Linked DNA regions of Tribolium castaneum. The protein of the gene in region 1 interacts with the protein of each later gene in a biochemical or structural test. Links are inferred from orthologs where the notes say so. Each region holds a gene or a part of one and is shown in the gene's direction. Other genes may lie near its edges. The genes, in order: mor, brm and Bap60.

Region 1 (11,327 bases):
CCGGGGGACTTTCCTACGCCGAAATCGCCACCACGTGATTCGTTAACGATAATAGATGTCAATCAACGATAAAAAAGCGCTTATTTATTGATCGTTTGACATCTCGTGATGCTCACGTGACCCAACGTCAAACGATAAAATTTCCACGAGCGCCGTTGACGCATCTTCGATTTTTATGACCCGAAATGGACGATATTGTGAAATTCTCTCCGATATCGGGAAAAAACCGGCGCGAGTGCGCATTTCCGCGGAAATTCGGCACGAAAACGTGACTGCGATCAGCCGTACGAAAATCTCGCACGGTTACGTCACAGCGCCACTTTCACCCGGCAAATGCAAAAATCCAGCCTTATCGCAGATTTGGGCAATAAACGCAATCAGCGCGGCTAATAGCCTAGAACTTGAAGACTGTTCTGGTATTTGGACTATCATGTCAGCGAAAACGGGGCTAAAAATGGAACAAATATTTATCTTTAGGCATCGAATTACTGGCACATTTAAGCACCTGTCGCGAATCTCTCGCAAAAATTTTTGATCATGGAACTGCAATTACGAGAGAGACTAAACATGCCAACAATTTCCTTTTAAATGTTGTGCACGTTGTTTCAATTTCTTATATAATGGGAGTGATTATTTATTTTATTGCTTCTGTTTGGACTAATGCCACCGATAAGGTGTGTCTGTGATTGGTGTTGGCGCGAATAATTTTCGAAAAAACGGACCATATGGCGCAAAAATGTGGGTCATCCGTCCGTAGCAATTGAATTAATTGAGCTACCAATTTTCTTAATGAGGTAATAGAGTCGTCTGTTGCAACAAAGGTAAAAAGTGTTGATTGTAGTCCACGTGCGCTGGCTAAGCTGAAATTTGATTAGGCCTTGCAGCGCGTAATCCGGCCCTGTCCGAAGGGGTGTTTATTTTTTGGCCGATGTGTTAATTGCTATCACGTGCGCGTCCGAAAATACGCCGACTTCCTGCATAAATAATATTGCGTCGAGTGTGCGGCGTGGGGTCCGGTGCCCCCTTGGATGTGTGCGATAATTGAATGGACTTGCACAAACTGGTTTGATTGCGAATTTGCGTCGTTCGGCGAGAACTCACCCTTCGTACTTGACCCTTTGAATGTTGGCCGAGTTTTCCTCCCAGTAAGCCTGCGTCATGTCCATTTTCCTGGGGACGGTTCAGCAGCACATAGCACTTTTCCGGAAATTCGGTGGAGATTTGAGACAGGTGTCGTCGCAGGCGGCGATCGCAAAGGCGCTTCACTTTCATCTACTCCTCGGCCACTGATACCGACCGACGAACACGCTAGAGTACACGTGAGCGGAGGATTTAATCCAAGACAAGGAAAAATCGGTGCGCTGCCTCCGACTCTACGTGACGGCGAACACATACTGGCGCTCGCCGGATTTTCGACGATAAGCGCGGATTTTCGCCGGAATACTCCGGGAGAAGACTGCGACGCAGGGGCGTGCGGACTGACGCAGGACTTGGGTGGAAAATACGAGAAACCAACTCGAAATATTTACACTACACAATTTTTTAAAAATTATGTTCAATTAAAGTCCGGGACATTTTATCACCACCAGGACCGCACTAGGTCCTTTCGACGGCTGGGTGCATATCATATTTTACCGGCTCTACTTTTAAATTCTAACGTTCTTCTGTTCTTGGACCGAGAATTGCATTATTTTCACTTTTTCGAGCAGTTAAAAAAGCCAGACTCAGTTTTTTGCCGAAAATTTGTGAATGGAGAATGAGAAATATTTGGTGTTTATTAATTAATGTTTTACAACACTGTTTAGCTAGAAATTAAAAACGTTGAAAAATCGTCGAATTGTATCGAAAATGGTGTTGCTTTGAGTTTTTATTTTTTTCTGCGAGATTTTGTTGAAAGGGAACAAACAATTACTAAACTAATAAGTAAATATTTTCAATCTTTTTTTTCCTTTTTCGACAATTTTAGCACGTGCTTTAACCAGAAACTTTAAATTTGAATAGTTTTGTTCATAATAAATCGAAATTTTGCCTTTTTCTCAAAAATCATCTGAAAGGTTACTAAATTTGATCGGAAAACAACCATTCGAGCAGGAAAGAGAAATTCATGACGGACGGGACACAAAAAAAACTCACATTTTCATCGTTGAAAAATTGTTATAAAATTAATTCCAACAATTATTTTTTAAATAAAAGGTGGAACTTCTTGAAACTTTTGAAATCACGAAATCGAAGAGTAAAGCAATTTTTATTTACACATGACGGGTAGGACTCTAAAAAATTCATTCGACTGGTTTTAATTATTAAAGACTTTAACAATCTCAAAATTATACAGTAGTAATAAAAAATTATTGGTCTTGTTTCACAACATAAGAAATAAAAGCAACAATAATATGTTTGCAATAACGGACGGGACAGCAAAATTTACGAAGATAAAAAAGTAATATAATCAATTTAAATGATTATCTTTTCCTAATTTAAATCTACAACAAAAAAACTGTTTTGTCGCAAAATACATTCAATATAAACCGAATCGTGTAGGTATTTCGAAAGGAATTTTACACAAAGTATTTTGAAAATTTCGGTGTTAGGTTGCATTATTGTTGAAATGGCTTAAGGCAGAATGTCAAATCAAAAATTAAAAATCAGTTATAAAAACCTCGCCAAATTTAATCAAAAATACTCTAAAAAATCACCGAATCGTTTCGAGAATAGTGTTATTTTTTGGTTTTTATTTTTTTTTTTTCTGCGAGAATTTATAAAAATAGAACGAATAATTAGGTACTAAACTAATAAGTAAAGATTTTCAATATTTTTTCATTTTTCGACCGTTTTAGCACGTTTTTTATTCAGAAACGCGATTATTTTGAATAATTTTGTTTATAATAAGCGTAAAAGTCAAAGTAATGTTTAATTGTTTTGCCTTTTTCACAAAAATCCGCTAAATTTGATCCGAAAAGTAAGTAAGTACTACATTTATTTTGTTTGTAAACAACGTTTCTGACTCAAAATGTGCTAAATTTTGAGTCAGAAACGTTGTTTACCAAATTTTCGCGAAAAATTAGCTGAAAAATCTCAAAATTACCTACTTCAAAAAAAGAGCTTTTCATCACTAATAAAAAATAAAAATATTTTTAATCAGAATTTTGCTAAATCTGGCTGAAAAATGAATAAATTAAATCGAAAATGATACAATTTTACCATTTCTACGTTATATAACACGGTTTTTTTTCCAGGAACGCAATTATTCCGATAACTGTATCACCGAGGTTTGAAAAATCACATAACTGTATCAAAAATTTTGACTCGGCTTTATATTTGAACAGCTTGTTTGTCCAAAAATGCTAATAATATTTTGCAAAATTTTGATAAAATAAAATCAATTAAACGCCAAACCTTAAAAAAAATTTCAAAAATCTTTGTATTTAATAGAATAGGGTGTACTTTTTAGCGTTTATAGACCCATTTGCAATAAAATCTCAGTTAAAGTTACCATTTTCAAAATGGATTGTATTAAATTTTTAGCCCTTTTCTTATTGACCACCTAAAGTTTTTTTTTTGTGGATCCTTTTTGCCTCTCCGTCCATATATTTCACGGTCCGTAGAGCCGGCTCTGTATTATAATAAATAATAAATAATTTTTGTGATCCAATTTTTGAAAACATTTTATTTTGGGGTGAAATAACTTCTAAACGCTTGATTTTTTTGTAAAAGAAAAATCTCTGTTAGAACTGAACTCTACTGACAATATTTCAAACAAGATGCTCTATTTCATGAAGAAAAAATATTATGAAAAGTGATAAAAAATGATCCTTTTTTTAACTGATTGTTTTTTTAACGAATCACCCTGGATGTTAGAAAACAAACAAAAAAACTAGTAAATCCGAAAACAGGTCAATTTTTATTTACAGGGGACACCTGTTAGTGTCCTTTCGAAATTTGTAGCACCTACCTCTTTTGTATTAAAAAATTAAAAACAACACCTTCACAATTCGAAATACCTCAAATGAAAGGTATTTTGACAAGGAATTTAGGCTTTTTTAGTGTTTTTTTTTTTTAGTTGAGCTAGACCTAAAAACTAGGAAAATTTTTCTAATAAAGTCGCGAACTTAAATATCAGTCAACACAGGACACACAAGAAAGTTAACGCCAGATAGGGGAATGGTAAAATATAATAAAAAAAAATAAAGCTAATGTAAAAAAAATATTATAAACTATATTAATTATAAAATCATTTACCAATTTCAGCAAAACTATTCTGTAAAACTATAAATATGATTTTTTTCTGATGTTAGCTTATAAAAAAAAATGGCTTCTCAACGTTTCTGCGCTTTCTCCATCCATGAATGAACTATTCACAGTTACGTAAGTTTTAATTATAATTTAAAACAATCTAGAGACGAGGCGGTCTAATAATAATACTCTAAGCGCTCGTTTTTATTTTTAAGCTTTTTTCTGAACCGAATACCTAGTATAGGCGTCAGCTTTGTTAATTTGTAACTTTTACCCAAGTGACGTTAATAGAAGCAAAAATTTGGTTTGTATATCCTATGCTAGTAAGCTAGTATGTTCTCATTTTTGGTGCTTCATTACTTCAATATTGTGTATAAACATGTCGTGATAACGGAATTAGGAAAAAGGGAGGAGAATTGAATTAGATCACAAAGAGGTAAGTTTTTGTAACTGTTTTTTTTTCCTTGCCAAAAAATTTCAGTGCACGCCACTGCTGCGAGCTCATTCGTGCACCGGAACGTAACGCGGGGATTGTTTGTTTGTTTGCACATGAGCCAAACCAGAGATCACGTTCAAAGTAACGTGGAGACCCACGTGATCCCTACCTATTACACCTATCAGAGCGAAACTTTTGGCCACGGGGGCGAGGTACCCGAGCCCCAAAACTGGCAGTTTCGCCCCCGTTTGAGGCCCAGCATAAGCCCGTCGAGCTTCAGACAACGCGAAGACCCGATTTTTTTCGGAAATGCCTCAGCTGCGGTCACGTTTCACGTGAGCTGTTAGGTAACGCCAGGAAAATTCACGACCGCTCATTTCACACGTTTCGGCTTACATAAGTTGTTTTGATCTGTTATTTCCCTACATGTGAACGTTTCCAGTCCATGACAGTGAACGTGCATCGGCCCGTGAAGCGTGGGCACGTGTTGCAAACACGCTCACGCTCGAAATTCAAATTTCCCGCCCCGGATAACGTATTACTGGTTGCCCATACTTCGCATTTTGACAATTGACATTATTGTGATATTCAAGCGTCGGTTTATTTCGCTAAATTTACGCTATTTATTTGTATATTTCTGTAAAGTTTACCAAAGTAATGTACAATTTAGTTAAGTCTCAGTAATACGGTAGTTTCGTAAGTCGGGAATTATTCTTCTGTGGGCAAAATGATGGGCTACGGCCCCAAAAAGGACGGCGGTCCTAACGTGAAATACTTCGAATCGCCGGAAACCCTCGCGGCCCTCGAGCTTGTGAGGCAGTGGCTGCAGAAGAATGGCAAAAAGGTGAGGTTCTGAGCGCTGTGAGTGCCCCCATCATTGTGGTTGTTTCAGTATTTTCAAGCCGAACCTGTCACTAATAAGAGTCTCTCCATGTTGGTTTTGCAATTGATGCAATTCCAGGAGGACTTTTTGGGCAAAAATGTGCAAAAGCCGCCCATGATCCGCATCCCGGTGCGGTATTTTATGGATTTTAAGCCCGGGGGCGCCTTGTGCCACATGCTGTTGGCGGCGTACAAGTTCAAGAGCGAGCACAATTGGCGCCGGTTTGAGATACCAACAGGCAAAGTGAGTATCCTGTCTTAAAACTTTGGCGTAAAATAGTATTTTCCATAATTATTTCTTTTTCTGTACGGTGGAACCTACAAATTTTGGTTTGAAACTCAGCTAAATTTGTAACCCTATTTTGCTAATTGATCATCTTATGACCAAAAATATCGGTCATAAATATGTCTGTCTAACGTAAAATTGTCGAAGGATTCCAAATCTGTCCTCATTTTTCTTCTACGATTTGTAGTTTTGGAGATATTAGATGATTTCCATTTTTCTAGTTAGCAAAAATTTAAAAAAGTAGAAATAGATCTATTCGTAACAACGACTTGTAGCCCTCTTTACTAATGAATTATCTGTTTTTGAGGAAAATTTTGTAACAATCCAGTCAAAATTGTGCAATTAATCCGGATAAAATAACTTGGTTAAAATTTTAATTTACTTATCTGTCAATAAAAAAATACTAAGATCGCAATAACCAAAAATATAGGTCATAAATATGTCTGTTCTGATAAATCTGTTCTGATTTTTGTTTTACGATTCGTAGTTTCGGAGATATTAACTGATGTATGGTGATTTCCATTTTTTTAGTTACCAAAAATAAAAAAATAGAAATACTAGATCTGGTCGTAAAAACGACTTGTAACCCTCTTTGCTAATTAATTACCTATTCCTGTGCAAAATTTAGTAACAATAGATTCAAAATTGTGCAAATAATTTGAATAAAACAAGTTGGTGAAATTTTTTATTTACTTATCTGGCAATAAAAAAATCATCAAGATCACAATAACCAAAAATACAGGTAAAAATTACGTCTAGCTGACGTAAAATTGTCTGAGGATTCCCAGTCTCTCCTGATTTTTGTTCTATGATTGGTAGTTTTGGAGATATTAGACAATATACGGTCGATTTCCATTTTTACAAGCTACCAAAAATAAAAAAAAATCTATCTAATCTAAAATTGTCTGAGGATTCCGAATCTCTCCTCATTTTTGTTCTATGATTCGTGGTTTGGAAGATATTTTAGATGATATCCGGTCGATTTCTATGTTTCCAATCTACAAAAAATAAAATAAAAAGAATTAAAACTACTCGTAAAAATGACTTGTAGCCCTCTTTACTAATCAACTATCTAGTCCTGCACAAAATTTAGTGAAAATCTAATGAAAATTCTGAAAATAATCCGAACAAAACAACTTGGTCAAAATTTTGATTTACTTTTCTGCAAATAAAAAAATCATCAAGATCACAATAACCAAAAATATCGGTCAAAAATATGACCATCTAACGTAAAATTGTCTGAGGATTCCAAATTTTTCCTCATTTTTGTTCTACGATTCGTAGTTTTGAAGATATTTTAGACGATATACGGCGGATTTCCATTTTTCCAGTCTACCAAAAATAAAAACAAATAAAATAAATCTACTTTTAAAAACGACTTGTAGCCCTCTTTACTAATTAATTACCTATTCTTGCACAAAATTTAGTAACAATCGGGTCAAAATTCTGAATATAAATCGAATAAAACAACTTAATCAAAATTTTGATTTACTTATCTGCCAATAAAAAAATAATCAAGGTCACAATAATCAAAAATATAGGTCAAAAATATGCCTCTCTTACGTAAAATTGACTGAGGATTCCGTATCTGTCCTCACGTTTGTTTTATAATTCGTAGTTTTGGATGTTTTAATTTTTCCAGTTTGCCAAAAATTACGAAAAAGTGATCTACACGTAAAACGACTCGGAGCCCCATTTACTAATTAATTATTTGTTCCTGAGCAAACTAATTAGAATTTAATGCTCTATCTGCCTGTATTTTTTTTGTTTCTATTATGCTAACCGTTACACAAATAAATCATTTTTTCAAATTCATTGCTCTGAAAACTTAGATGGTAATGGAACATTTTATTTGTTTTTTGATAACAGAGCACGGGCAAGCTGGAGCGCGTGTTCGAGATGTTGAAGTGCATGGAGAAGGTCTTGGTCCAGAACCGCTTCTACACCGTTCCGTCTGTCTACATCCGGCCCGAAATCGACAAGAATCTCGCCGCCAAATTACGCGAAATCGTGTGCCGCAAAATGGCTCAAGTGGCGGAAACTGAAGAAATGGCCACGCACATTTGCTACCCCCCTGTGGACCCGGTGGAGGAGGAATACGGCCGTCCGGTCTTCAAACGCGACAAGATGGTTATGATGCATTGGTACTACTTCCCGAATTCGTACGACGGTTGGATCAATTTAGACATTTCCGGCGAGGGTTTAAGCAACGACGTGCCGAGTCCCAGGACGGAAGCGTGGCGAGTCTCGTGTTCTTGGTTGCTGGAAACCGACCATTACAACGAGTGGATGTCCGAAGAAGACTACGAAGTGAACGAATTGGGCCAGAAGAAGATTCATCCGTTGCGGATGTCCGTCGAGGATGTTATGAACCCGTCGAACGACGACAGGTCGAAGAAGAAACAGAAGCGGAAACGCTCGCCTTCGCCACCGTCCAAAGGCGGGAAGCGCAAAAGTGGCCGAAGCCCCGCCATCGGCAAGAAGCAGAGACCTGAGGACATGGAAACTGAAGATTTGACGAAAGATATGGAGGAACCGACGCCCGAACCGAACATTGTCGAGGTTAACTCGTCGATGGCCAATCAGAACAGTAAGAAAGACCACGAATTGCAGCCCTTGAAGGGTGGCTCAGTCACCGATCTTGAGGAAAACGAAGAGCGAGGCGAAGATTCGCAAAATGGTAAAAACAGTGATAGTAATACCCAGGATGATGGGCAGGAGGATAATGTTACTGAACAAACCCACCATATTATCATACCATCGTATTCGGCATGGTTTGACTATAACGCGATACACGAAGTGGAAAAACGAGCCCTTGCTGAGTTTTTCAATGGGCGGAATAAATCGAAAACGCCCGAAATTTACCTCGCCTACCGCAACTTCATGATCGATACGTACCGATTAAACCCGACTGAATATATCACAAGTACGGCCTGCCGTCGAAATCTAGCCGGCGATGTTTGTGCCATTATGCGCGTCCATGCGTTCCTCGAACAATGGGGTTTGATCAACTATCAAGTCGACACTGACTCGAGACCCACACCCATGGGACCACCACCCACGTCCCATTTCCATATTCTATCAGACACACCGTCGGGCCTCCAACCGGTAAACCCCCCAAAAACCCAACAACCAAGCGCGGCAAAAACCTTACTAGACCTAGACCGCTCTCAGGACATCAAAAAAGGGGACGGCAGCGAACAAATGAATAATTTCGGCCTGAAGTTGGACCAATATGCCAAGAAACCGGCCGCCTTGAGAAACAAAAGCGCAGCGTCCTTGACTCGAGACTGGACCGAACAAGAGACACTTCTACTATTGGAAGGTTTAGAAATGTATAAAGACGATTGGAATAAAGTTTGCGAACACGTCGGCTCAAGGACACAAGACGAGTGCATTTTGCACTTCCTGCGTTTGCCGATTGAAGACCCGTATCTGGAAGACCCAGACGCTGGGGGCGCCTTAGGCCCTCTGGCCTACCAGCCAATCCCGTTCAGCAAAGCCGGAAACCCCATCATGTCAACTGTTGCGTTCCTCGCCTCCATTGTCGACCCGCGCGTGGCTGCGGCCGCCGCCAAGTCAGCAATGATCGAATTCGCCAACATCAAGGACGAAGTCCCAGCTGCCGTGATGGACGCGCATTTGAAAAACGTGGAAGCGAGCTCGACCGAAGGCAAATACGACCCAGCTGCGAACTTGGCCATGACCGGAATCGCCGGAACCGCACCCGAGAAGGAAGAAGAAGAGAAAATCAAGAAAGAACCCGAGAATAAAGAAGAAGAGAAAAGCGAAGAAAAGAAACCCGAGCCGGAAAAAGAAGAGAAGGAGGACAAGCCGGTCAAGAGCGAAACACCAAGCGAACCCGTCAAGACCGAAAAGCCGGAGGAACCGGAGCGGAAGCCCGAACGGACTGTGAAAGACAGCGAGATGCAGAGCGCGGCGGCGGCGGCTCTGGCTGCCGCCGCCGTCAAAGCCAAGCATCTGGCGGCGGTTGAGGAGCGCAAGATCAAGTCGCTGGTTGCGTTGTTGGTCGAAACGCAAATGAAGAAGTTGGAGATTAAGTTGAGGCACTTTGAGGAGTTGGAGACGACGATGGAGCGCGAACGCGAGGGTTTGGAGTATCAGAGGCAACAGTTGATCACGGAACGGCAACAGTTTCATTTAGAACAGTTGAAAGCGGCCGAGTTTAGGGCCCGCCAGCAGGCGCATCAGAGGCTGCAAGCGGATCAGGGCCAGTGGGCGATGCAACAGCCGCAAATGACGCATTCAGCGCCGCCCAACGAGGGGGCCCCGACTAACACGCCCACGCCCCCGAGTCCACAAGCGGCGGCCGTGGCGTCGCCGGCAGCCCCCCATCATCTAGCATAAGTAGGCTAAGTCTTAATGAAGGTATTAAAATCGTAACTTTGATTTATTCGCTTTATATTGGGTTTTTATTTTTATGTAGGTCACAAATCTGTGGTTCTTGTATTAAACTGTCGAAACATGGGTGTTTGTTTTATTCACTCATACAGTAAAACCAAAATTGTTTGGAACAATTTATTCTCATATAATACAATGAATGTGGACTTAATTAAAAATAGGATTTTTATTTAGTCGACGTAGATTTGTACATTACAATTATTTACATACCTTTCTTTACAATACGTGAGAATCACTTGCGCAACATAACAGTCAAAGAGGTACCGGAACATTACGTTTGATTAAAGTAAAGTAAAAAATGATGCTCTAACACGGAAAATACGGTACGAAAACGCAGTCAAAATAATGAAAGACCCTAGTAGTCAAGTAACTTACTCTCATTGGCTCTCTCCTCGGCCCGCGCCTTCATTCGCGTAATGAACGCGGCCCCCTTATTTTTCCTAAAGTTTTCATACGGATCGTTCAAATTACACCCTACACCTTTGAACTGATCTTGCCGATCGCGCACGTCCCCCCCGGAGATGGGGGCGTCGATGCCCTGCTCGTTGGCCCCCAAGCCGCTCCCGCCCCACCCCATTTTCCGCAACATCTGGTGTCCCTTATTGGTCGAGTCGATTTCCTGTTTCTCGTTCCGCACGAAACTCGGTGGTGCACTGCTGCAAGTAAAGTGAGTGGTCGTTTCGTTTGAAAATGCCAGTTGTACCTGAAACTTAGGGTTGGCGGCGGGGATGGCGAGCGCCTGACTGGCGACCTGGAGGGCGATCTGGAGACGCTCCTCCGCCTCCGGCCACCGCTCCGCGAGTGCCTCCTGCGCGGCGTGCGCGGACTCCTGGACCTGGAGCGCGACTTGGACCGGGACTTCGAGCGGCGCCTTTGCGGCGAGGGCGATTTGCTCGTGTACCGTCGTTTGGGCGGCGACGGCTCCTTCTCCATTGGCAGGACTATGGGGCTTGGGCTTCTGGACTTCTCGCGGAGGCCGGCGGCGATTTGCTCCTCCTTTTGCCGTTTCGCATTGTTCTTTGCCTTGTAGTATTCATACAAACCTAGCTTTTCCCAACCTTCACTGTTTTT
Region 2 (10,765 bases), on another chromosome or scaffold:
AAACTAGCATGCAAAGTATGTTTTGTAGAAAGTTAAACCTAAATAATAAAAAAAAACGATAAAAACACAACTTTCAACCGATAAAAACCCAATTTGAGCTATTAAAACTCGACGAATTAGCATTTTAATCGGGAAAAAAGTAGTGTATCAGTAGATAGTAGTAGTGCAATGCATGTGTTTAGACAATAATTAAAAGAGAAAAACAAAATTACCGAATTTATAGGGTGGTCCACCCGCTAGCGAAGCTAACGAACCACTTCCACCGGAAAGTGGCGCTGCTTCACAACAAGCGATGCGACCTCCGGGACCGCCCGGATCCCAAACGGGACCCGCTTCCGGCCCTCCCGGACCTGTCCAACAACAGGTAAAACTACATCACAAATTACCAACACTGTAAAAAGCATAGCATTCGAGCAATGGCAATAATACAATTACGAGCGTAGCTAGTAAGTGATTGAAATTTACTTTAGCCTCAGCTACAAGGCGTCAAACCTGGGCCACCTACGACCCAACAGAACGCCACCGGTATCCGGCCCGGAGGACCAAACCAACCGAACCAAACCGGAAACCAACAAACCTCAACCAAACAAAACCGCGTAACCACCGTACCAAAACCTGTTGGTATAGATCCGGTGGTTTTGCTACAGGAGAGGGAAAATCGCTTAGTGTCGCGAATCGCAGCCCGAATGGAACAGTTGAGTAATTTACCCACGAATATGTCCGAGGAGTTACGAATTCAAGCTCAGATCGAGCTGAGGGCTTTGCGATGTTTGAATTTCCAAAGACAGTTACGGAATGAGATAATTGCGTGTACGAGACGTGATACAACTTTGGAAACTGCTGTTAATATTAAGGCGTACAAAAGGACTAAAAGACAAGGTTTACGCGAAGCTAGGGCTACTGAAAAGTTGGAGAAACAACAAAAATTGGAAGCTGAACGGAAGAGAAGGCAAAAACATCAAGAGTTCCTTACTAGCGTCCTTCAACACGGTAAAGACTTTAAAGAGTTCCATCGCAATAATCAGGCCAAGTTGGCGAGGTTAAACAAGGCCGTTATGAATTACCACGCGAATGCCGAACGCGAACAGAAGAAGGAACAAGAACGTATTGAGAAAGAACGTATGAGGCGACTTATGGCCGAGGACGAAGAAGGTTACAGGAAATTGATTGATCAGAAGAAAGACAAACGGTTGGCCTTCCTCTTGTCGCAAACCGATGAGTATATCGCCAACTTGACCGAAATGGTCAAACAACACAAACTGGAGCAAAAACGCAAACAACAGGAGGAGGAGAAAAGGAAAAAGGTAATTATGTGTACCCCACTCGTACGCTTTGACTTAACCGATTCCAGAAGAAGAAGAAACGAGCCGAAGGTCTCTTGGCTGATGGTTCCCAAGGTCCTGATCGACCGGTTACTGTGGTTGAAACCGCAACTGGGAAAAAACTATCAGGAGAGGATGCACCAATGCTGAGTCAGTTGCAAGAGTGGTTGTTGCAACATCCAGGCTGGGAGGCTATGGATTCGGACGATGAGGATTCAGAAGATGAGGAAGAAAGTGAGTTAAGTGAAAGGTATTGTCACGTTTGAAAATAAACTTCTTCCAGTTAAAAGAAGAGAAGATGAGAATCGATCCGAAGAAGATAAAGCGAAAGAACTTATTAATAAAGCTAAAGTTGAGGATGATGAGTACCATAAGAATGCTAACGAAGAGCAGACTTATTACAGGTAGGTCCCGTCCTAAAAATTTCCGGTATGTATAATCCATAATTTTAGTATTGCTCACACTGTCCATGAAATTGTAACGGAACAAGCTTCCATTATGGTCAATGGTAAGTTGAAGGAGTACCAAACTAAAGGTTTGGAGTGGTTGGTGTCACTGTATAACAACAATTTGAACGGGATTTTGGCCGATGAGATGGGGTTGGGTAAAACCATTCAAACTATTGCTCTGATCACTTATCTAATGGAGAAGAAGAAGGTCAACGGGCCTTATCTCATCATAGTACCACTGTCGTAAGTTATATTTTTGCTCACATTTTTTAGTTTCGCAGTTTTAAGAACCTTCTATTTGATATTTTAAATTAAATTGATACGTGGTTTCTTGTTTTTGAGATAATAATTTAGTCTCCTGGAGATGTAACAGTTTTCGGTACAATTAAACAAAGTGGTTGGTCTTTAGACCAGTCATTTTAATAACTCCAGGAAGGAATAGCCTTCGAAAGGTTTTTAAACGCTTTTATTTAACTTGCTGAGTTGTCTCTGCTTGCGAATCAAATATATGTACCGGTTATCCGAACATACTGAAATTTTGCATACATACGTAATTTCCGTGACAATATAATTTAGTTCACTTGTTACTTGTTTTATTGGTATGGGAGTGATGAATATAAAGAGAGTTAAACCCGACACACCAAACTTTTATTGCTGTACAAGTACAATAATAATACAGGGTGCTCAAAAACTGGCCCACCAACTCAGTGGTACGTTATTGAGAAGCAAGTGCAGATTACGGGAAAAATGTTGAAAAAATTCCTAATGTCATATTTTAAAAAATCTGGAGTTACAAACTTATTGTGTTAACTTCTTTAGTTTTCATTATTTTTTTATATTTCTATGTTTCATACCAGGTAATCGTTCCGTAACAAAACGATGAATAATTATTCTTAAATTTACTATCACATTTTATCAGTTTTTTTAATTTAAAAAAAATCACAATGTGTAGATGTGCCAACACTGGGAATTGTTTCCTAGGAAACCGTTTCAAAAATAATTTATTTTTATTGTTGCTCAAATTCGGAAGTAAAATTACCGTTGGGGACGCCACTGAGCTAGGTCGAAAACAGTAACCATAAATGGCGGGAAAATGTTTATTCGGATATTTTGAGCGTTGTACGAATTTTGGGGCTTCACAATTATTGCATTGCCTATGCGGAATAATTATTGCATCTTTGATGCAAGAAACTTATGTTGACAAATGAGAGATGACGAGGAAAACACGAATAACGAATGACTGTTTGGTTCACTTTCTTTATTGGAAAATTATTACAAAGACATTGAAAAGCCTACCTTTTGGCATAATTTACGTTTAAATATATCAGCAGTTGTTAATCTTTATTGTAGTTTTGTAGATTTACCGCAGCATTTCATGATTTTTTCAGTGGAAAATTCTAACCTAAAATTCATAACACTTTGTGTTCGCTGTGATCCATTACTTATAATCTTTAATTAGACAACTGTTTGATAACACTTTGTAATCAAAATTTAAATATTTTTCACTTTTTATCCACTTTCAAGTTCCAACAATAAACACTTTATACCACGAAAAACTACAGAACCAAAGTCAACGTTAGGATTTACCACCACGTACTTTTAAAGTAATTCTTTCTATTGTAAGTAATTAACACTATACACGCAAAATTGTTGAACAATTCATTAAATGTCAGTTAAATGTGGCATTACGAAAATTTCTTTACTGTTTTCGACATAGTTCAAAAGTCATCACCAGAGGGCGTCTAGTTAATTTTATTTCCGAATTCTATTGCGATCATGACTGTTAGACAACGTTGCCACATATCATTTACCTAAAATTAGCTATTTATCAATAACTTTAATACAAAGAATTTTTTTACTATTTTTACTATTATATGTAACCACTGCTCTACCACACACCATTGAGTTGGTGCGCCAGTTTTTGAGCACACTGTATAATAATAAAAAATAGGTTTGTCGAGTTTAAAATGTATTTGTGTTCAAATTTAGTTATAAATAATTATCAATATTTCGGCTCTTAATTGAAATATCGAGATGAAACAAACACCATTCGATAGAGCAGAAAAAATTCTACAGATGAACGGAAAACCAGTTTCCTACCGCCCACAAGAACAATGATATTAACGTCTGAAAATTTCAGAATCGCTGTTTGCGAACAGAAATTGCGATTTTTAACACAAATGTAATGTTGTCTTAAAAGATCTATTTAGTGTTTCCCAACCGGTGGTTCGCGTGTATAAAGGGGGTTCGTCCAAAGAAGCATAATAATGGCGGAATTTTATAAAATGGATAAAGTAAAAAAATTCAAAATAATAAATTTAAATAAATCTAACAGACAAAATTGGCATCATCTCATTGTCTCTGTGTTTTTGCCCCATTTTTTTTTTGATTAATTGTTTTCATTTTCATGATTCAAGATTCATCAAAAATTAGACTTTTACGGATTCGAGATAGATTTCTGTTTGTTGAACGCATTTTTATCGAACACCTGAGAACAGTTATTACCAATTTGTGCTTATGAAAACAGAACTCAATTGTTATTATTAATAGGAACAGACATAATATTGTATTATAATATTATGGACAAAAATCAGCTTTTCGTACAAAAAGTTTAACGAAAAAGGACGCTTTTACTGCAAAAAAAACTTATTTGTCGAAGGGAACAATAATTATATGTTATGAAAATTGATTGTCAGTTTTCAGTAATTTATTTGAACTTAATTGGGTTTGAAGTTTGAAGTTAGAGCAAATTCTAAGGTCTTCTTTAGACTTGGTTTAAAATAAAATTGGTACTTTTTTTATTCATTTGTCTCACATGATTATTTTGCATTTTCGTTACTTAGGAAATTGCAGTGTTAAGTAAGCACTTTTTGTCTTCACATTTGCATCAAAAACTGTTATCTAATACGTAATTTCACCTTATTTCTGTGTTTTCGTATATATATTTTTATATAGGATTTTTTGCTAACATTAATGACATTTTTTTAAATAAATCAAATACTGGACCCAACTTCTTTTACTAAAATTGCTCCGAATGAATTGGTTATGGAGCCAACGATAAAACTATTTAACATGTCTGTTTAAAGAACTCCTCTTGCAAAAGCATTTACTGTAATCTGTTCCCAATTTTAAAATAAAAAATATAAAAAATTGGTATTACATTATTCGTTTTTTTTTAAATTTATATTCATTAACATTCATTCAGTTCAAAATGTGCAACAAAGAAAATATATGTCCTATCAAATTTTATTGTCTTAAAGCAGTACAAGGGGTTTGCCAAATTCTGTCGGATGTTAGAAGGGGTTCGCAAGGTGAAAAAGGTTGGGAACCACTGATCTACTTAATTATGTTTTTATATTATCATTTTATACATTTGGAAAAAATTGGATATATTATTCTGAGTATAAGCGCTTTGAATGAAGCTTTGCTTAGCTTCTGTTACAGTACTAATATTTAACTTCCTTTGTTCTGTTTGTTTTATATTTTCCGAGATAAGCTGAAATTTTGAATACACCCGTACTCTCCGTAGCGATAATGATATTTACAATATTTATTTTAATAAATAATTAGCAGTTATTATAATCAATTATCACTATATTGACTCTTAAATCAACACTATTCGATAACCAATCTCCTATCACACACAAGAACAAAGATATTAATGTTTGATATTTTCATTATCGCTGTTTGGGATAGATCGTGTTTCGGAACAACCTAAAATTTTGCATAAATATAAATAATAATAATAGTAATATAAATAATTTAAAAAAATAAATGATTAAAAAAACACAAGTAAACAATAATATCGTGGTTTACGCAGATCTTAAATTAAAAAAACAATCTTTTATAAACTTGGAATGGTATGATAGTCAAAAATAATTAGGTAAAATGCTTTTTCTGGAAAATCAAACAAGTTTTACCAATTTAAATACTTAATTAGCAATAATTGCTTCTTTTGTCGTGGTATTCTATTTTTTTAATGGCTCATTTAATTTCGACCACAATTTTTATTGCCATAAAATTAAACCCACACTAACTAGTATCGTCCTTTAATTTTACCAGAACTTTATCCAACTGGGTCCTTGAGTTCGAGAAATGGTCCCCCTCAGTGCAGGTCGTGTCCTATAAGGGCTCCCCGGCAGGCCGTCGAACAATCCAGAGCCAAATGCGTTCGACCAAATTCAACGTCCTTCTCACCACCTACGAATACGTAATCAAAGATAAGGGAGTTTTAGCAAAACTCCCATGGAAATACATGATAATCGATGAAGGTCACCGAATGAAAAACCATCATTGCAAACTGACCCAAGTCCTAAACACGCATTATTTAGCCCCTCATCGCCTTCTCCTCACCGGCACCCCTCTCCAAAATAAACTTCCCGAATTGTGGGCCCTTCTCAATTTCCTCCTCCCCTCGATTTTCAAAAGTTGCTCGACTTTCGAGCAATGGTTCAACGCACCCTTTGCCACAACCGGCGAAAAAGTCGAATTGAATGAAGAAGAAACGATTTTGATTATTCGGCGTTTGCATAAAGTCTTGCGACCGTTTTTACTCAGGCGGTTAAAAAAAGAGGTCGAGTCGCAGTTGCCTGACAAAGTTGAGTATATAATCAAGTGTGATATGTCAGGGTTGCAGAAAGTTCTCTACAAGTGAGTTGGTGTGTTTTTGGGGTTGGGTGAACAATTTTTGGGTTCTAGGCACATGCAAAGTAAGGGTGTCTTGTTGACTGACGGTTCCGAAAAGGGTAATAAGGGTAAAGGGGGCGCCAAGGCCCTAATGAATACGATCGTACAGTTGAGAAAGTTGTGTAATCATCCCTTTATGTTCCAAAATATCGAGGAGAAGTATTGTGACCACGTGGGCATTTCGGGAGGAGTCATTTCGGGGTTAGTTTCGAAAGCTTCACTCCGATTGACATACGATTTTTTTTTTTTTTTTTTTGGTGGTTATAGGCCTGACTTATACCGAGCGTCCGGAAAGTTCGAACTTCTGGACCGAATCCTCCCCAAGTTGAAAGTGACCGGTCACCGAGTCCTACTTTTCTGTCAAATGACCCAGCTTATGACCATTATGGAGGACTACTTATCCTGGCGTGGTTTCGGTTATTTGCGTCTAGATGGCACCACCAAAGCTGAGGATCGTGGCGACCTTTTGAAGAAATTCAACGCCAAAAACAGTGATTATTTCTTGTTTTTGTTGTCGACAAGAGCCGGTGGTTTAGGTTTGAATTTGCAAAGTGCCGATACGGTCATTATTTTCGATTCGGATTGGAATCCACATCAAGTAATGGATTTGATGCGATTTTACCACTCGTTTGTTAATTGGCGATTTTAGGATTTGCAAGCCCAGGATCGCGCCCATCGTATTGGCCAACAAAACGAAGTGCGCGTTTTGCGCCTGATGACTGTCAATTCGGTTGAAGAGCGGATTTTAGCCGCCGCTCGGTATAAGTTAAACATGGACGAGAAGGTCATCCAGGCAGGGATGTTCGATCAGAAGAGTACAGGATCGGAGCGGCAGCAGTTCCTGCAAAGTATTTTGCATCAAGACGGCGATGAGGAAGAAGTAAACTCTTCAAACGCTGGAGAAGAGCTTCCTCTTATCATTATGTTTTTTAGGAGGAAAACGAGGTCCCTGACGACGAAACCGTCAACCAGATGGTGGCGCGTTCGGAGGCCGAGTTCGAGCTGTTCCAGAAAATGGACCTGGAGCGAAGACGCGAGGAGGCGAAGCTGGGGCCCAACCGGAAGCCCCGCATGATGGAAATAAGTGAGCTTCCGGATTGGTTGGTGAAGGATGACGATGAGGTTGATCCTTGGAATTATGACGAAACGGAGTCGGCTTTGGGGCGGGGCACCAGACAGAGGAAGGAAGTTGACTACACTGACAGTCTGACGGAGAAAGAGTGGCTCAAAGCGATTGACGAAGGCGGAGATTACGATGATGAAGACGATGAAGAAGAAAAAGTCAAAAAGAAACGCGGGCGCAAGAGGAGGAAGAGAGGAGACGATTCGGATAGTGAGGTTGGTACGAGTAAAAGGAGGAGGGGGCAATCGAGCGCCGACTTGAAGTTGAAACGCCAAATGAGAAAATTAATGAACATCGTAACGAGATACACAGACAGGTAAGAACGAACACACGAGTTGCATACAATATTTTTCTACGTGTTTTTTGTGTAGTGACGGCCGGCTTTTGAGCGAACCGTTCATGAAATTACCACCGCGGAAAGACTATCCGGACTATTACGAAATTATTAAAAAACCGATGGATATTAATAAGATTTTGGGCCGAATTGAGGACAGCAAAGTGAGTTATAGTTAAAATCGTCAGTGTCGTATAACTGAGCCAATTTTTGTAGTATAACGATTTCAATGACCTCGAACGCGACTTTATGCTTTTGTGTCAAAACGCCCAAATCTACAACGAAGAAGCGTCCCTTATCCATGAAGACAGCATCGTTCTTCAGTCGGTTTTCACAAATGCGAAGCAACGGATTGAGTCGGGAGTTCCTGACTCGGACGATGATAAAGACGAGGATAAATCAGACAGCGAATCGGTGAAAATGAAGATCAAACTGAAGAACAAGAAGACCAGTGGTCGGCGCAAACGCGCCGCGAAGAGATACGTCTCGGATGACGACGACGATGACGATGATTGAAGTATTTGATTTAGTTAAGGTAGAAACATCTATATAAGTGTAATACTTTGATTTTTGTATTTATTTTTGAAGAGATGTAAGTATAGGTTGTAGGTATGTGGTCTATCGTAACACTAATACACAATTTGAAAAGAACTCTTTATTTTGTTGGTATTTTTATTTCTGCAAACTCCTCAGCAAACTCCTCCTTGGAGCTGGTCCTGAATGGCTCCTCGTCGTAATAGTCGAAGTTGCTAGTGTCACCTGCGTCTCGAACTTTGGGTTTGAACGAGGGTTTGACTCTGCGACGCAAAATCTGGTCGAAGTCCACGCTTTTGAACCACTCGTGCCCTTTCACGTCCTTGCTCCCGTTTTTCAAAATCCCATACCTAGGAAATGGACGAGTGCCTTTTTCTCAATTTAAAAATAGTTTTTACATTATACCTGCGGTAGTATAACTTTAAGTCAAGTTTTAATATTAAACCTAAACATTGTAAGGTAGATATAATGTACAGGTTGTACGAGAAGTAATGACACAGACTTGAGAGCCAAGCGAGTGAGAGTCGGGTCGACCCGATAGTATTGAGAGCAGTTGTCGGTTTTCCGACACTGGGTGTGGGTGTGTGGAAGCTGGAGGGTTGTGAAAATTGATAAATATTTCGTTCAAAATATTGACTACCGCACTTGAATTGTTTAGCGAAAGAAATAAAATAATAATTTTTTTAGTTGGAGAGTCTCATAGAATATACAGTTAAAAACATTAAAAACAACAGTTGGCTTGATTCTGGGTTTTTGTCCAAAGTCAACAGTTTACAAAATACAACCATTTATTAATTTATTTATTAATAGACGTAGAAGTTAAGAGTTGATGAATTTTTTTTCAAGAAATGAGTTCAGGTTATTCAGAATTAAATTAATCGTAAATTAAAAATTCATTGCGATTAAATCGGTTTTTGAGAGTAAGTCATTGCTTTAATTTCAAACAAACAAAAGAAGATGAATATAAAATGGAAATGCTCTTGCACATGACAAAGCAGGGTGTTTCGAGTAAAAAACTAACAAGTCGAGGGTGTATTTGATAAAAACCGTTTATTATAAAAACAATGTAATAATAAATAATAAAATTAATTGTAAAAGTTTAAATAATGAAATTATTATTCTTTTTAATATTAACGGTCGGTTTACAGATAGCGAAATTAAAGTTTAATTTAGAATTAAACTAATTCCACATTAAGTTGCCATTTAAAATGCATTGACAAATGTCAAGTTGATCTCGAAATTAGTCACGAAATGAATAAGAAATACCTCGGAAGTACTGGTTATTGTCGTTCCCAAAAGCGATGAATTTTCTTTGAAAATATAATCCAAATTTAATAGTTTATGACCACTTCAGGAGGTAGCAATCATTTGGGGAATCCACAAGGGACTTTCTATTTTACCTACTGTTCTTCGCTTATTTGCTTCATATTAAAAACCATTAAATTCAAATATACACATAGTTGTTAATTGTTTAAAGTATGACAAACTACTGTATAATTTTTTAAACTATATAAAAATTATCATAAAAATTGAGATAGTGTTGTCTTTACTGTTTACTTAATTTACGTTATTTACTCCTGAAATAGGTGTTTCATTTTCAAATTTCCTCAAAGAGATGAATATTTACTGGAATCAAAAAAACTAATGCAAAATCGGTAGGTAGACAAGTTTGGGATGAATCATGGGGTCCTAATCTTACCAGTGTTAATTCTAAGCACTCTAAGGCGGTGCCATAATATTTGGGTATATTGTAAACGAATCTTTTTTTATCACATTAAACAAGCTTCAATTCCGAATAAGGCCTGTATAAACAATTTTCATCTAGGGTGGATTTTACAATTGTCAGATAAACTCCGGATAAGTTATTCCTTGTATAATTACTATGGTTACAATTGTTACAACAATGTATTTTTCAAAATTTATCCCCAGGATAAAAGTTATCCGACGATTGTAAAATCCACCCTTAATAGAAAATTCTATAAAAATTGCCATCATAGGGCGTAATTCTAACTTCATTAATTTCGCTAACAAATTGTTTTCAGTAGAATAAACTTTATAATTAATTATAATTATAATAAAATTAATAACTACGATAACATAACATTGACAAACACATGATGAATACGCAAGAGTTCCTTCGTTTTATATTTTTTTTTCCATTTTTCCTACTATTCTTCTCTCATTTGCTTCATTTTAAAAACCATCAAATCCAAATATACAAAGAGTTGTTAATTGTTTAAAATATTACAAACTACTGTATGATTTTTTAAATTAAAGTTATCATAAAAATTGGGGTAGTATTGTCTTTACTATTTAC
Region 3 (11,090 bases), about 10 Mb from region 1:
AGCAACGAATTAATTAAAAGTAATTACCAATTAACAGCCAGAAATTAACTTTTTCGATAGAAGAGTGTACTTCGACCCATCGTTGAAATCACCAACTGGTTCTCAAAAATCGACTTTAAACCACAATCAAGCGGTAACAAAGTCTAGCAAAATTACAGTTAAAACAAATCAAATTAATTAAATCCAGTGGCATTGAAATCTCCAAGAACCAAACACTTCTGGAATAAATTAACATAAAACTCCACGCTAGCGTGATAATAACCGTTGCTCAAAGACCAATCATGACATTTTCGCACAGGAAATGCAGTGGGATTTTATGACTCCATTGCGCATTTTTCCGCGAACCGAAGGTTGCTATTATTATGTGATTTCTGCTCAAGTTATTTGTGTCGTAATTATTTCATAGAATCTAGCAAAAACCGCAAACTCATAATTACCATCATCATAACTGGAGTGACATTTAAAATGATATTTTATCACTTTTCTGCAACAAATCAAAACATGAATGAGCGATTTTGCAACAGCGCACCTAACAACGTAACTTTGCACCTGCCGATAGGAAGGTACAAAGCAGGCGGGGCCCAAATAAACCACCAACCAATCAGACGCCAGCAACCTGTCGCCGGGCGGCCAATCAGCGCCCGGATATGATCCATTCAACATTGCAGTTCACCTTACAAATCATTTGCATAGACGTTTTTACGTTGCTATTTCATGACTGCAAAACATACGCGGATTAATAATAATTGCCAGGGATATAAATTAGAACCTGAAGCTGCGTTTTTGCAAACGCTATTAGAAATTTCTAATAAGATAAATACCAAAGGTGCAGTGTAATGTCTTGCCACAAGGTGATTAACACCAGCGCAAAAAATGCACTCAAACCGCAATTTCTAATTAAGCTAATTGGACGCAATTAGGCACAACCAAAATTTCGAGATCAATTTTAATTCTAATAGTTTTTTTTTAATTTTAACAACAAATAACAGTGTCACACAAGTAAACATAGATACATACAGAGTTGGCAAATTTAATTTTTTACTTTTAAATGAGGCAGGCAACCAAAAATACACAATGTACTTCTTTATTTTTTTCGTCAAAAATTAAACCGTATAATATTCTGCCAAATTCTTAACAGCCATAATACTAAAAATCGTGCCATATGAGTTTAAACCATAAAAAAATTAAATTTGGGAAATCATAGGCAGCCAGCATAACAAAATACAAAATTGTAATTGTAGATTAATTGCAGCAGAAAAATACTCAACCTTAAAAAATGTTAGCAAAAACCAATTTTTCGTAAAATTAATGCCTTTAAACACATACAAATGTTTAAATTGTTTAATGTCTTGAGTGTAGGCAACCAGAAATACACCATGCGATTGACAGCAGAGGTTCTTTCGCGAGAAAAAAATTTAATTTTTTTAAAGAGATCTCAACTATCACAAATGGTAAAACAACCAATGTTTTTGCAAAATAAGGCGTTTAAACCAAATCCATGCCATTTTTTGTCCTACCTGAAGTCCTTAGCGTCCAAAAGGTAGTTCCAGGGATCAGGGTAGTTCCAGGAGAAATGTTCTTACAGTCACTTTCAATCACAATTATTGTTAATGTTTTTGGAAAATTAACAACGAAAACACTCATTTTTGTAAAGAAAACGGCAAAAAAATAAAGATTACACGGTCATTGAACACGAAGCGTCCAATACGTAAAATTTGACAATAGTGCCAACCCCATACTTTAGAATTTAGGAATCCCCAGTTTTCTACCAATAATTATCGGAAATTGGGGCTACAGATATTCGGGTAAGAAGGTTTTTAAAGCGAAATCGCAATTACACACTCACTTACCTTGAGTTTGTTGATTTTAATCCCAAAATTTTGCTAAACTACAGGAATCTGTAATATTTTTGGCGCTAAATTTCTATGACAGTCAGTTGGACCAAATTAGATTAATCCAAGTGAGAGCAAAGGTCAATTGGCTTAAACGAGATGAGTAATGCGGTGAATAAAACTCGTAATTTGTAAAATATCGTTTATTAAAAATTAAATATAATATATTCAACTGTTCTATAATTAATTACTTTTTGCGCAATGTATAATATAGTAAAATAATACGTCATTTTTCATTTCCATTACTTAAAACCATTAACAACTATCAAATATCTTTGGCATTTGTAAATTTGTATCCTTACAAAAAAAAGGTGGCAAGTTTAACATTTTGGTAGATAATCACAAGTACTTAACGAGATGACCCATTCCAAAAAATCGATGTTTTCCAACTACTCTACTAAAAAAACAAAATTTTCGTACTGGTCACCTCATCAAACAAAAAAAAACTCAATGAGAATCACAAAATTTTACAATTCGATGTGTTAGTCACTTAGCGAGTTGCTATGTCTAGTCGTAACATCACTAATTGTAGAATTATGCCTAGTCTTTCTGCTGCCTTCTTCGACCTCCATTGGCGGATTTATCGATTGCGAGAGAGCGTTAGTTTTTTGAAAATCAATCGTAGCGTAACTTTTCGCTTTGTGGGGGCTTTCTGGCGTCACTTGAGAGGTAGAAACGTCGCTTTTCACCGGATCCAAGTCCAGCTCAGCGTAATTCACTTCGTGGACAGTCAAATAGAGCGCGGTGGGCGTTTGGGGCACACTTGGCGCCTCCGCCCCCGACAAAAGCGGCCTTAAATGTTCTAAATCTTTGGTGTCTATATTGGCGTAGCAATGTCTTGCGTTGTCCTCGGAAGGATCCGAGTCTTTGGTTCCAACGGTGTCCACATTCATGTACAGGTGGCACGGACTCTCCACAAGGGGGCGCAGCTCCTCCCCACATCTAAATACCCAGTGACTTTATTTTTATTTAAATCAAAACTGCCAAATTAAAATTTTTAATTTATCACCAACTTATTATTATTTAAAGGCAGAAAATTATAAATTATTCACCGAAGAAAAAAAATATAAAAGTGGCACAGTTGGCAAAGCTGTTTATTTAGCAAAATTTCAATCTAACTGACAAAAATGTGTAAAAAAAATCGGTAAAAGCGCCCTAAATGAAATAAATCTGGGACTTTAGCAACTTACCCCTCGGGGGCTGCGGCGCCTAAGTTGGCATAATTGGGAGCCTCCAACTCAGTAATAACACTGGAATTGGTGTACTGGTGGTCCCCCAAACTGCCCCTCTTATTATTATTGTGTTCGTGCGTCGACTCGGCCGTCGTGGGGCTCACCGGGCCGTTGCTGGTGATGGACCCAGGGCGGCTCAGACTCGGCCTGGGGGCCCCCACCGGATTGAGATAGCCCTCGGGCTGGGACGGGGCGCGTCGCTGCACAGGGGGCCCCGTGGAAACGGCCGGAAAGTCCGAAATGGCGTTAATAAGGGGGTTCTCGTCGGAATTACGTACAATGTGATGTTGGACGATATTGAAAAGTTGCTCAGCCTTGCGGCACCTAAACGCATAAATGCCTTGGCCAGTGGGGCACCTGCGACCGCACTCGAAACTGAAAATTTCCGAGTCGAAGCCGTACTTGCGCAGCGACCTGAGGGGCCACACTGTGGGGTTTTTGCCTCTTTGGTGTAGGACTAGTTCAGTTTCCCGGACTTCGAGCTTGCCGGGGCTCACCAAGTCGCCTTGGTCGTTGACGTTGGATACGTCGAAAATGTTCGGGTGTTGATCGTTTATGTCGGGCTTGCTGCTAACACAACCCATTTTCTACCTAGGAGTAAGGGGTAAATAAACATCAAGGTTATTTGGTTGGGGGCACTTACTAGGTTTGGCTCAAAGCTTGATTGCATGGACACGTGGCTTTTCAGGCATTCTGACCAAAAATTACTGTTTTTACATTTTGTTGTGAGTTTTTCGGGGTTTTTTAACCAATTTTTATGTGAAGTTCTCACATAATAAACAGCGACGCCATCATGGTTCTTCTGTCACCAGGCCGGCAACCAAACACAAAAAATGCGAAAATAAATTCATTTGACCACCGGCAACAACCCCACGGGCCCCAAAACACCCACAACAACACGCGTAAACAACCCAACAACCTTTCTGAAAATTTTTAAACAAAATACGGAAAAACAACGGTGTTGGTACCCCTACTAGTAGCTCAACTGGTCACAATCTCACAATGTTCACAAAACCTAATAGTGAATTCACACCTTTTTCGTATTTTTTTCCCAAACTTTGATTCAATAAACCCAAAGGTCGCAAAACCGTTCTTAATCACACATTTACTATTGATAATTCCTTATCAAATTAACAATTTCGTCCACGCACACCTTCGTCACCAAACCCACCAAACACACAAGACCGAAACTGGGCAACTGGGGACGCATCTGTGTGTTTTTTGTGCTTAAGAAGTGATAAAAGGCCATGGCCCAGCGTTTCGCGGGCCCCGTGCCGCCCCAAGGTCCCGGGGGGCCCCCACCCCAGCGTTACCCGCCCCAAAATCCGGGAATGCGCCAGTACCCAGCCCAGAATTTTCCGGTGAGTTTCCCCATTTTCCACCCAATTATTTCTAATTCGCACTATAGCAACGGACAGGGTACAACACCCCGCCCCCGAACATGGGGGCCCAGCCGGGCGCTATGATGCCGCGGCCCCCTCAAGCCCCCTATTCGCCCATGCGAGGGGGGCCCATGCCGCCCCAGCCGGGCGTTAAACGGCCCCCGGACAACAGGGCCGTCATGCAGCAAAAGAGGTAAGCAATTGGGAGTATACAGAATTGTTATTTTTATTTATTTCAAATATTTGTATTTGTTCGAAAAAATCGTTTACGCTGTTGGCAGTGATTACCCACATGGAACCAAGAAAAAGAAGAAGCTTTCCGACAAGATTTTGCCCCAAAAAGTCAGAGATTTGGTGCCCGAAAGCCAGGCCTACATGGATTTACTCGCGTTTGAGCGTAAATTAGACTCGACCATAATGAGAAAACGGTTGGATATTCAAGAGGCGTTAAAACGTCCAATGAAACAAAAACGCAAATTGAGGATTTTCATCTCTAACACGTTTTATCCAGCCAAAGAGGCGTGCGCCGAGGGCCCAGACGGCCCTGGACAAGAGGGCTCCGTGGCCTCTTGGGAGTTGCGAGTCGAGGGCCGCCTTTTAGACGACTCGAAAAGTGACCCCAATAAAGTCAAACGCAAATTTTCGTCATTTTTCAAATCGTTGGTGATTGAGCTCGATAAGGAGTTGTACGGTCCTGATAACCACTTGGTGGAATGGCACCGTACCTTAACAACTCAAGAAACAGACGGTTTCCAGGTCAAGAGACCTGGGGATAAGAATGTGCGGTGCACTATTCTTTTGTTACTCGACTACCAACCGCTACAATTCAAACTCGACCCGCGATTGGCCCGTTTATTGGGCGTGCACACGCAGACACGCCCCGTTATCATCTCCGCCCTATGGCAGTATATAAAAACGCACCGATTGCAAGACGCCCACGAACGCGAATACATCGTGTGTGATAAATATCTCGAGCAGATCTTCGGGTGTCCTCGGATGAAATTTGCGGAAATCCCCCAACGTTTAAACCCGTTGCTCCACCCACCGGACCCTATCGTCATCAATCACGTGATCTCGGTGGAGGGCGGGGCCGAAAGCAAGCAAACCGCCTGCTACGATATTGACGTGGAGGTGGACGATACGCTCAAAACTCAGATGAATAATTTCCTGTTGAGCACAGCTAGTCAGCAGGAGATCCAAGGTTTGGATGCGAAAATTCACGAAACTGTCGATACGATTAATCAATTGAAAACAAATCGTGAGTTTTTCTTGAGTTTTGCCAAAGATCCGCAACAGTTTATTTACAAGTGGATCGTGTCACAAACCAGGGATTTGAAGGTATGGAAAGTGAGTGTATTAGGGTGGAAAAGTGGCATTTTCCGCACGTTTGTTCTAGTGTATGACCGATGTGGTGGGCAATCCTGAAGAGGAGCGGAGGTCCGACTTTTTCTACCAACCGTGGGCGCAAGAAGCCGTGTGTCGCTATTTCTACACCAAGGTGCAGCAAAAAAGGGCCGAACTGGAGCAAGCACTCGGCATTCGCAACAATTGAGCGAAACCAGCACGAGATATGTATTAGTTTATTTGAATATAATTTCCAGCATTTAATAAATAAACTGCATTTTTAACTCAAGTCACTTTCCTTAAAATGTCTCCAAATAACCAAAAACAAACTCACTAAGGCTGGAGAATTTTTCCTCAAAAATTCAGTGATTTTTTTCCTATAAGGGTGAAAAATTTTCGGCAACAATGAGGGAAACAAACAGGAAATTTGTATTAGTTTATTAGAATATAATTTCCATCATTTAAATAAATAAATTGCATTATTGACTCAAGCATCCACTATCAGTTTCGTTACACAACTACGACAGCTGTACCAAAGACTGTTACTAAACAATTATCTACAGTCAACAAAAACAAATAAATTAGAAATGCAATTGTGCACCAATCGGGTCTTTGACGGAAGAACAAAACTTTGCTACTTATCACAATGAAATTAGATTGCATCGGAGCGATTAGCACTTGCGCCCGTCAAGCCAACCGTCCGACCTGCACCATTGAGAAAAACAACAAAATAAAATCGTTTTAAAAAAATATATACTTAGACCACTACAAGCAATCAATCAATCGTAAACAAATTTATACAAAATACATCAATCAGGCTATACAAATAATCCAGTTGTGTAAAATGTGCTACTTAATTACCTAAACGTGCTAGTTAGACCATTTGATCAAGAGGAGAGACAACTAAAATCCTAAAATAATGCCACTTTTATATTACAAAACACGATTTAAGCCTGGAAAATTTGAATCGTTATTACACCACCATGATTATAATAGCGCGCGACATGCGACAGGAAAACCCACAAATTATTTCTTAGCAATTGCACTAAAAACCGACCTAAGAAACAATTTGTCGTCTCAATAAGTGCACCTTAATTCTAGGATAACTAAGCAAGTAAGCACAAAAATGTAAGTCGTGTGTTGTTCCACGGCTTACGTAGTACGAGTAGTCAGCAATATTTTTGGTATCCCAGTGATCAGAGCACCGTTTCTGGAAGGAAAAATTCAGGAAATTAGAGAAAAAAATTAAATCAAGACTCACATGCGTCTTTCTCGTTTATGATAAGTGATTCGCGTTTTCGCGCAATTTCCATGTTTTTCTGGCCCATGTTAGACCCAGTACGGATCGCAGCGCCGCCACCAACAACAACATGATGTTGGCCAGACCTGATAGGCTTGGCAATTGTTGCAGCAGGGCCGCGACGAGCGAGGTTCTTTTGGCGGACGGCTTCCTTGATCCGGTCCACCTCGTATTGATATCTGAAAAAAAAAACAAAACATTTATTGGCGATTTTGCCGTAATTGAGAAAAATGTGAGCGCCAACCTTTTGCGATCCCTCATGGCGCCCTCCTTGGCCTCCTTGAGCGCCGTCTCCAGCGCCTTCACCCTCTCCATGGTCGCCCTTAGCCTCTTCTCCAGCTTGGGCAACTCGCACCTCAAATCGGCATTATCTCTCACAAGTTGCTTATGCACTTTGGTCAACTGGTCCAAATTATTCTCCAAAAACGAGATTTTCTGTTTCTGGGCCAACGAACCGCCGTCTTCTTCGTTATCTTCAGCCGAGAGATTTTTCTTCATCCGTGCCTACAACAGCATTGTTTCACCACTCGTCGCTACGTCGCTCGTACCCACCTGTAAGTCCTGGACGAATAATTTTCGGAGATTGTGAAGGGTTTGCAACTCCTTGGCGACGGTGTCTTCCAATCCTCGGAGGTCTTTCCGTGCTTGTTCGCGTCGTTCGTTCGTGGTACTGCAGAATATTATCCATCAGCGTTTCAGCATTCAAGCCACACCACGCTCACGGATTTGTTTGGTCAGGTTTTATTTGTGTCGTCACACGACAACCAAAAATATTACGCTTACTACTCGACAAAAACCAAAACGAAAACAATACAAACACATAACACAGACAGGTCGTCTAGGTTTAGAAATAGTCAACAATTTCAACTACGAGAAATTCAAAAATAATTGCCTTTAAAATATGCAACGATTTTTTATACACTATTGCTAACACTCTCTTATTTACATTATTATTATCATACAACAATACTACAAGACCACTTAGATCCAAAGTTTGAGCTCGCTATTGTCGTTTTTTTTAATTTTTGATTCGTTTTTATACAGTGATATGCAAAACCGGTAACAAGCCGCGATTTAATAATAAAAAAAATGTTACAAAACTCGAAAAACTTGAATAAAATCTTGCACTAAATAATGCCCTGATTTTGTTTTATCTAATGTTCCAAATTTTGATTTTATTTTTATATTCAATCAAGTTTCCAGAATTTTTTTGTGGTTTTTCTCAGTTTAAGTTTAAATTTAAAACATTTCTTCATCGTTTGCTATATTTCAAAAACTAATCAGTTTTTGATATGAAATATATTTTTTTTATTTGTTTTTGAACAGACTCACCTTGATCCACCTTCTATAGACTTTAGATAAATTCAACAAAAGAAAAATAAGTAATAATTAAAAATTTGCCATTTTGCGACAGTATAACTTGGCAATAGCAAGATATACGTAGTCACTGGCTGTATCAGCATTTTTGTTTTTATTAAATCGGGCTTTCCGCGGCTCCTTTTAGTTAAATGGCCTCATCACAAAGCAAAAATACAAAATACTGTGCTGTTTTGTTTCGTAACCACTGACTAGTTAGTCACACGTGTATCAACTATAAAATAAAACTCAAAACCAAACAGTGGCGTGATGTGACTATGCCAAAAAATGTTTAAAAAAATAAAAAATAATACTACGCAATATTTTTCAAAATAAATCACAGGAAAAATCACTTTTCAAAGGAATGGATTAGTTTCAAATCGAAATGCACCAAATTATCACAATATAATAAAATCGCCCGCGACTAGATTTAGACAACGACTAGATATTGTGGACACCTATGTGTGACCAATAACAAAGTTAGGGAAATAAACAAATGCAAATGGAACGTATGTATGTGAAAAATCGACATCGAGCATTGATTTTTCGCCAATTTTGTGAAACTATTCAACGCGTCTTTTGCATGTTTAGGCACTGGATCGACATAAGGCAAAAATTTCTCCCAATCGGGACTTGAAGGATGAGGTAAGAGTTTTGTGGCGGATTTGGGGGAACACGGGAATGAGCGTTTACACTTTACTGACATGAGCTCCTGCAATTTCTGCGACTTTTCGGCTTCTTCCGACTTGACTTTCTCGTATTCAGACTGCAACTGTTGCTGGGCGAGCGACAACTTCTGGTTCGAACTGTGAAAAAACAAATCAAAACAAAACAAAAAACACATGACGTAACACACTCTTTGATATCGTTGATCAATTGCTGCTTTTCGGCGATTTCGTCGCGTAACGCCGCCACTTGCTTCTGATGAGCGACACGTAATTGGTCCATTTGCTGCTCGAGAGCCAATCGCAGCTCGTTCGCTTCCTTCTTCTCGCTCTCGCTGGCGCTCGAAACCTGCAAAAACGTTAATCTAGCAACCTGTAAACACTCTTTTTTTCTTTTAATTTCGAGATGTTTTGAATTGTATTTCTCTCTCGAATTAAAAAACTTACTTGTTCAGCGGCCTTCAACTTCGCACACTCCTCCCTCAAGGCATCAACACTCTCCTCCAGCATCCGCTTCTTGTTCTCAGCTTCGCGCATCGACTCTTGTAGACTCTTCATCCTGGCCTCGTGTTGCGAAATCAACAACCTACACTCCCCCAACTCCTTCTCATACTCCGTGACCTTCTTGTTACTATCCTGTTCCTTGTTTTCAATTTCGTGCAATCGCTGCGTCAAATTCGTAACTTCACTCTTCATCCGCGAAATATACAAACGTGCAACCGTAAACTCCTCCTCCAGCTTAGCCGCATCATTGGAGATCTTAATCTCGGACCCGTCACTCCCCAAAGTCGACCCAATCTCGCCCAACTCCTTCAGCAAATTGCTCAACATCTCGGCGATTCGCTTCTTTTGATGACTCGACATGTCCCGCAATTGCTGCAATTCGGTGGTCGTGGTATTCAAGCTGGCTTGCTTCTGCATCAGCTCCTCGGACAGGGTTTCCATCTCCTTGTTCTTGGCGTCCACTTCTTGCGACTTTTGGTCGTAGTTAACGGCCAGTTCTTCAAGCGCTTGCAGGACTTCCTTGACCTCCTCCTTGGCACTCTCATTCTCCTGCTGGATTCGGTTCATTTCCGCTTGGAGCGCTTCGTAGTCGCGTCGCGTGCTTGCAATCAACTCGTCCTGTTCCAACATCTGCTCCTTGAGTTTCTCAACGTATTGGCTTTGCTCGTTGATCTCTTCGTCTTTTTCGTCCAGTTGTTGGTAGAGTCGCTCGCGTTCCAGCTCCAGTTTCCTGCGTTCTTCCACATCGAGGGTTGAGCCGATCATGAGGGCTGGGGTTGCCGGGACAGGTCCCTGTTTCTCCACTGTGCTTTCCTCCATTCCAGAGACAGGAGTCACAGCTTCGGTTAGTTCGTTCAAGTTGACTTGTTCCTCGGCTTTGACCGTTTCTCCAGCCCTCCAACGTTGCAACTCGCTCTCAAGTTTCTCAACTTTGCCTTTAAGACGCGCCACTTTTTCCTTTTCTTTTTCGTAGCGACGTTTCCATTCTTCGGCCGTGAGTTCCTCATTGACACAGACGACGTTTTTAACAGTTTTGGCTCGTTTGCCGAAATCGAGCGTCGATTTCGTCTCGGATTCGTTGAAACTCGCTGGAGAACAACAAATCACAATTGTTGTTCGGGCGTTTCCGCCCAAGGATTCTTGCAGGATTCTTGTTAGTTTAGAGTCACGGTAAGGTATGTGTGTTTTGTTTCCGTCGGCTAAAGCACTGATCACGTTACCAAGGGCCGAAAGTGACTTGTTAATGTTTTTGGCTTCGTCTAGCACTGTTCCTTCAGCCCCGGTTTTGGAGACTTTTTCCGAACCAGCCAAATCGACCAAATACAATTTCCCCGAAAGTTTTTTCTGATTTTCTAGATTCTCTTGCTTGACGTTTATCAAAAATACTGAGTGTGATCGAGACGAGTGCTCGTTCA

The links.
Region 2: the proteins of mor (region 1) and brm form a complex in vitro, tested with the Drosophila melanogaster proteins (2 studies listed by BioGRID, with this or other methods). The link is inferred for Tribolium castaneum from reciprocal best matches to the Drosophila melanogaster genes mor and brm.
Region 3: the proteins of mor (region 1) and Bap60 form a complex in vitro, tested with the Drosophila melanogaster proteins (2 studies listed by BioGRID, with this or other methods). The link is inferred for Tribolium castaneum from reciprocal best matches to the Drosophila melanogaster genes mor and Bap60.

Annotation. Positions count from the first base shown.
Region 1 is NC_087395.1:15,647,523-15,658,849, forward strand, and holds mor (SWI/SNF complex subunit SMARCC2), read left to right. Parts: upstream 1-4,679; 5' UTR 4,680-5,393; coding exon 5,394-5,510; intron 5,511-5,558; coding exon 5,559-5,792; intron 5,793-7,703; coding exon 7,704-10,202; 3' UTR 10,203-10,322; downstream 10,323-11,327. Other genes in the region: transcription factor cwo, read right to left, coding at 1,102-1,166; calcium homeostasis endoplasmic reticulum protein, read right to left, coding at 10,612-10,912, 10,960-11,319.
Region 2 is NC_087400.1:7,705,625-7,716,389, reverse strand, and holds the end of brm (ATP-dependent helicase brm), read left to right. Parts: exon of another isoform or gene 1-18; intron 19-223; coding exon 224-364; intron 365-470; coding exon 471-1,304; intron 1,305-1,351; coding exon 1,352-1,556; intron 1,557-1,605; coding exon 1,606-1,726; intron 1,727-1,774; coding exon 1,775-2,014; intron 2,015-5,833; coding exon 5,834-6,421; intron 6,422-6,469; coding exon 6,470-6,658; intron 6,659-6,724; coding exon 6,725-7,055; intron 7,056-7,106; coding exon 7,107-7,337; intron 7,338-7,390; coding exon 7,391-7,896; intron 7,897-7,951; coding exon 7,952-8,078; intron 8,079-8,130; coding exon 8,131-8,430; 3' UTR 8,431-8,565; downstream 8,566-10,765. Other genes in the region: cAMP-dependent protein kinase catalytic subunit beta, read right to left, coding at 8,570-8,798. UniProt on the Drosophila melanogaster protein: Transcriptional regulator. Acts as a coactivator, assisting one or more dedicated transcriptional activators of ANTC and BXC homeotic gene clusters. Can counteract the repressive effect of Polycomb protein.
Region 3 is NC_087395.1:25,847,605-25,858,694, reverse strand, and holds Bap60 (brahma-associated protein of 60 kDa), read left to right. Parts: upstream 1-4,154; 5' UTR 4,155-4,371; coding exon 4,372-4,485; intron 4,486-4,532; coding exon 4,533-4,699; intron 4,700-4,787; coding exon 4,788-5,853; intron 5,854-5,902; coding exon 5,903-6,058; 3' UTR 6,059-6,139; downstream 6,140-11,090. Other genes in the region: fibroblast growth factor receptor substrate 3, read right to left, coding at 2,375-2,834, 3,083-3,708; Khc (kinesin heavy chain), read right to left, coding at 7,059-7,060, 7,112-7,329, 7,395-7,654, 7,703-7,820, 9,211-9,312, 9,363-9,520, 9,619-11,090. UniProt on the Drosophila melanogaster protein: Involved in the recruitment and site-specific anchoring of the Brahma complex at specific promoter sites.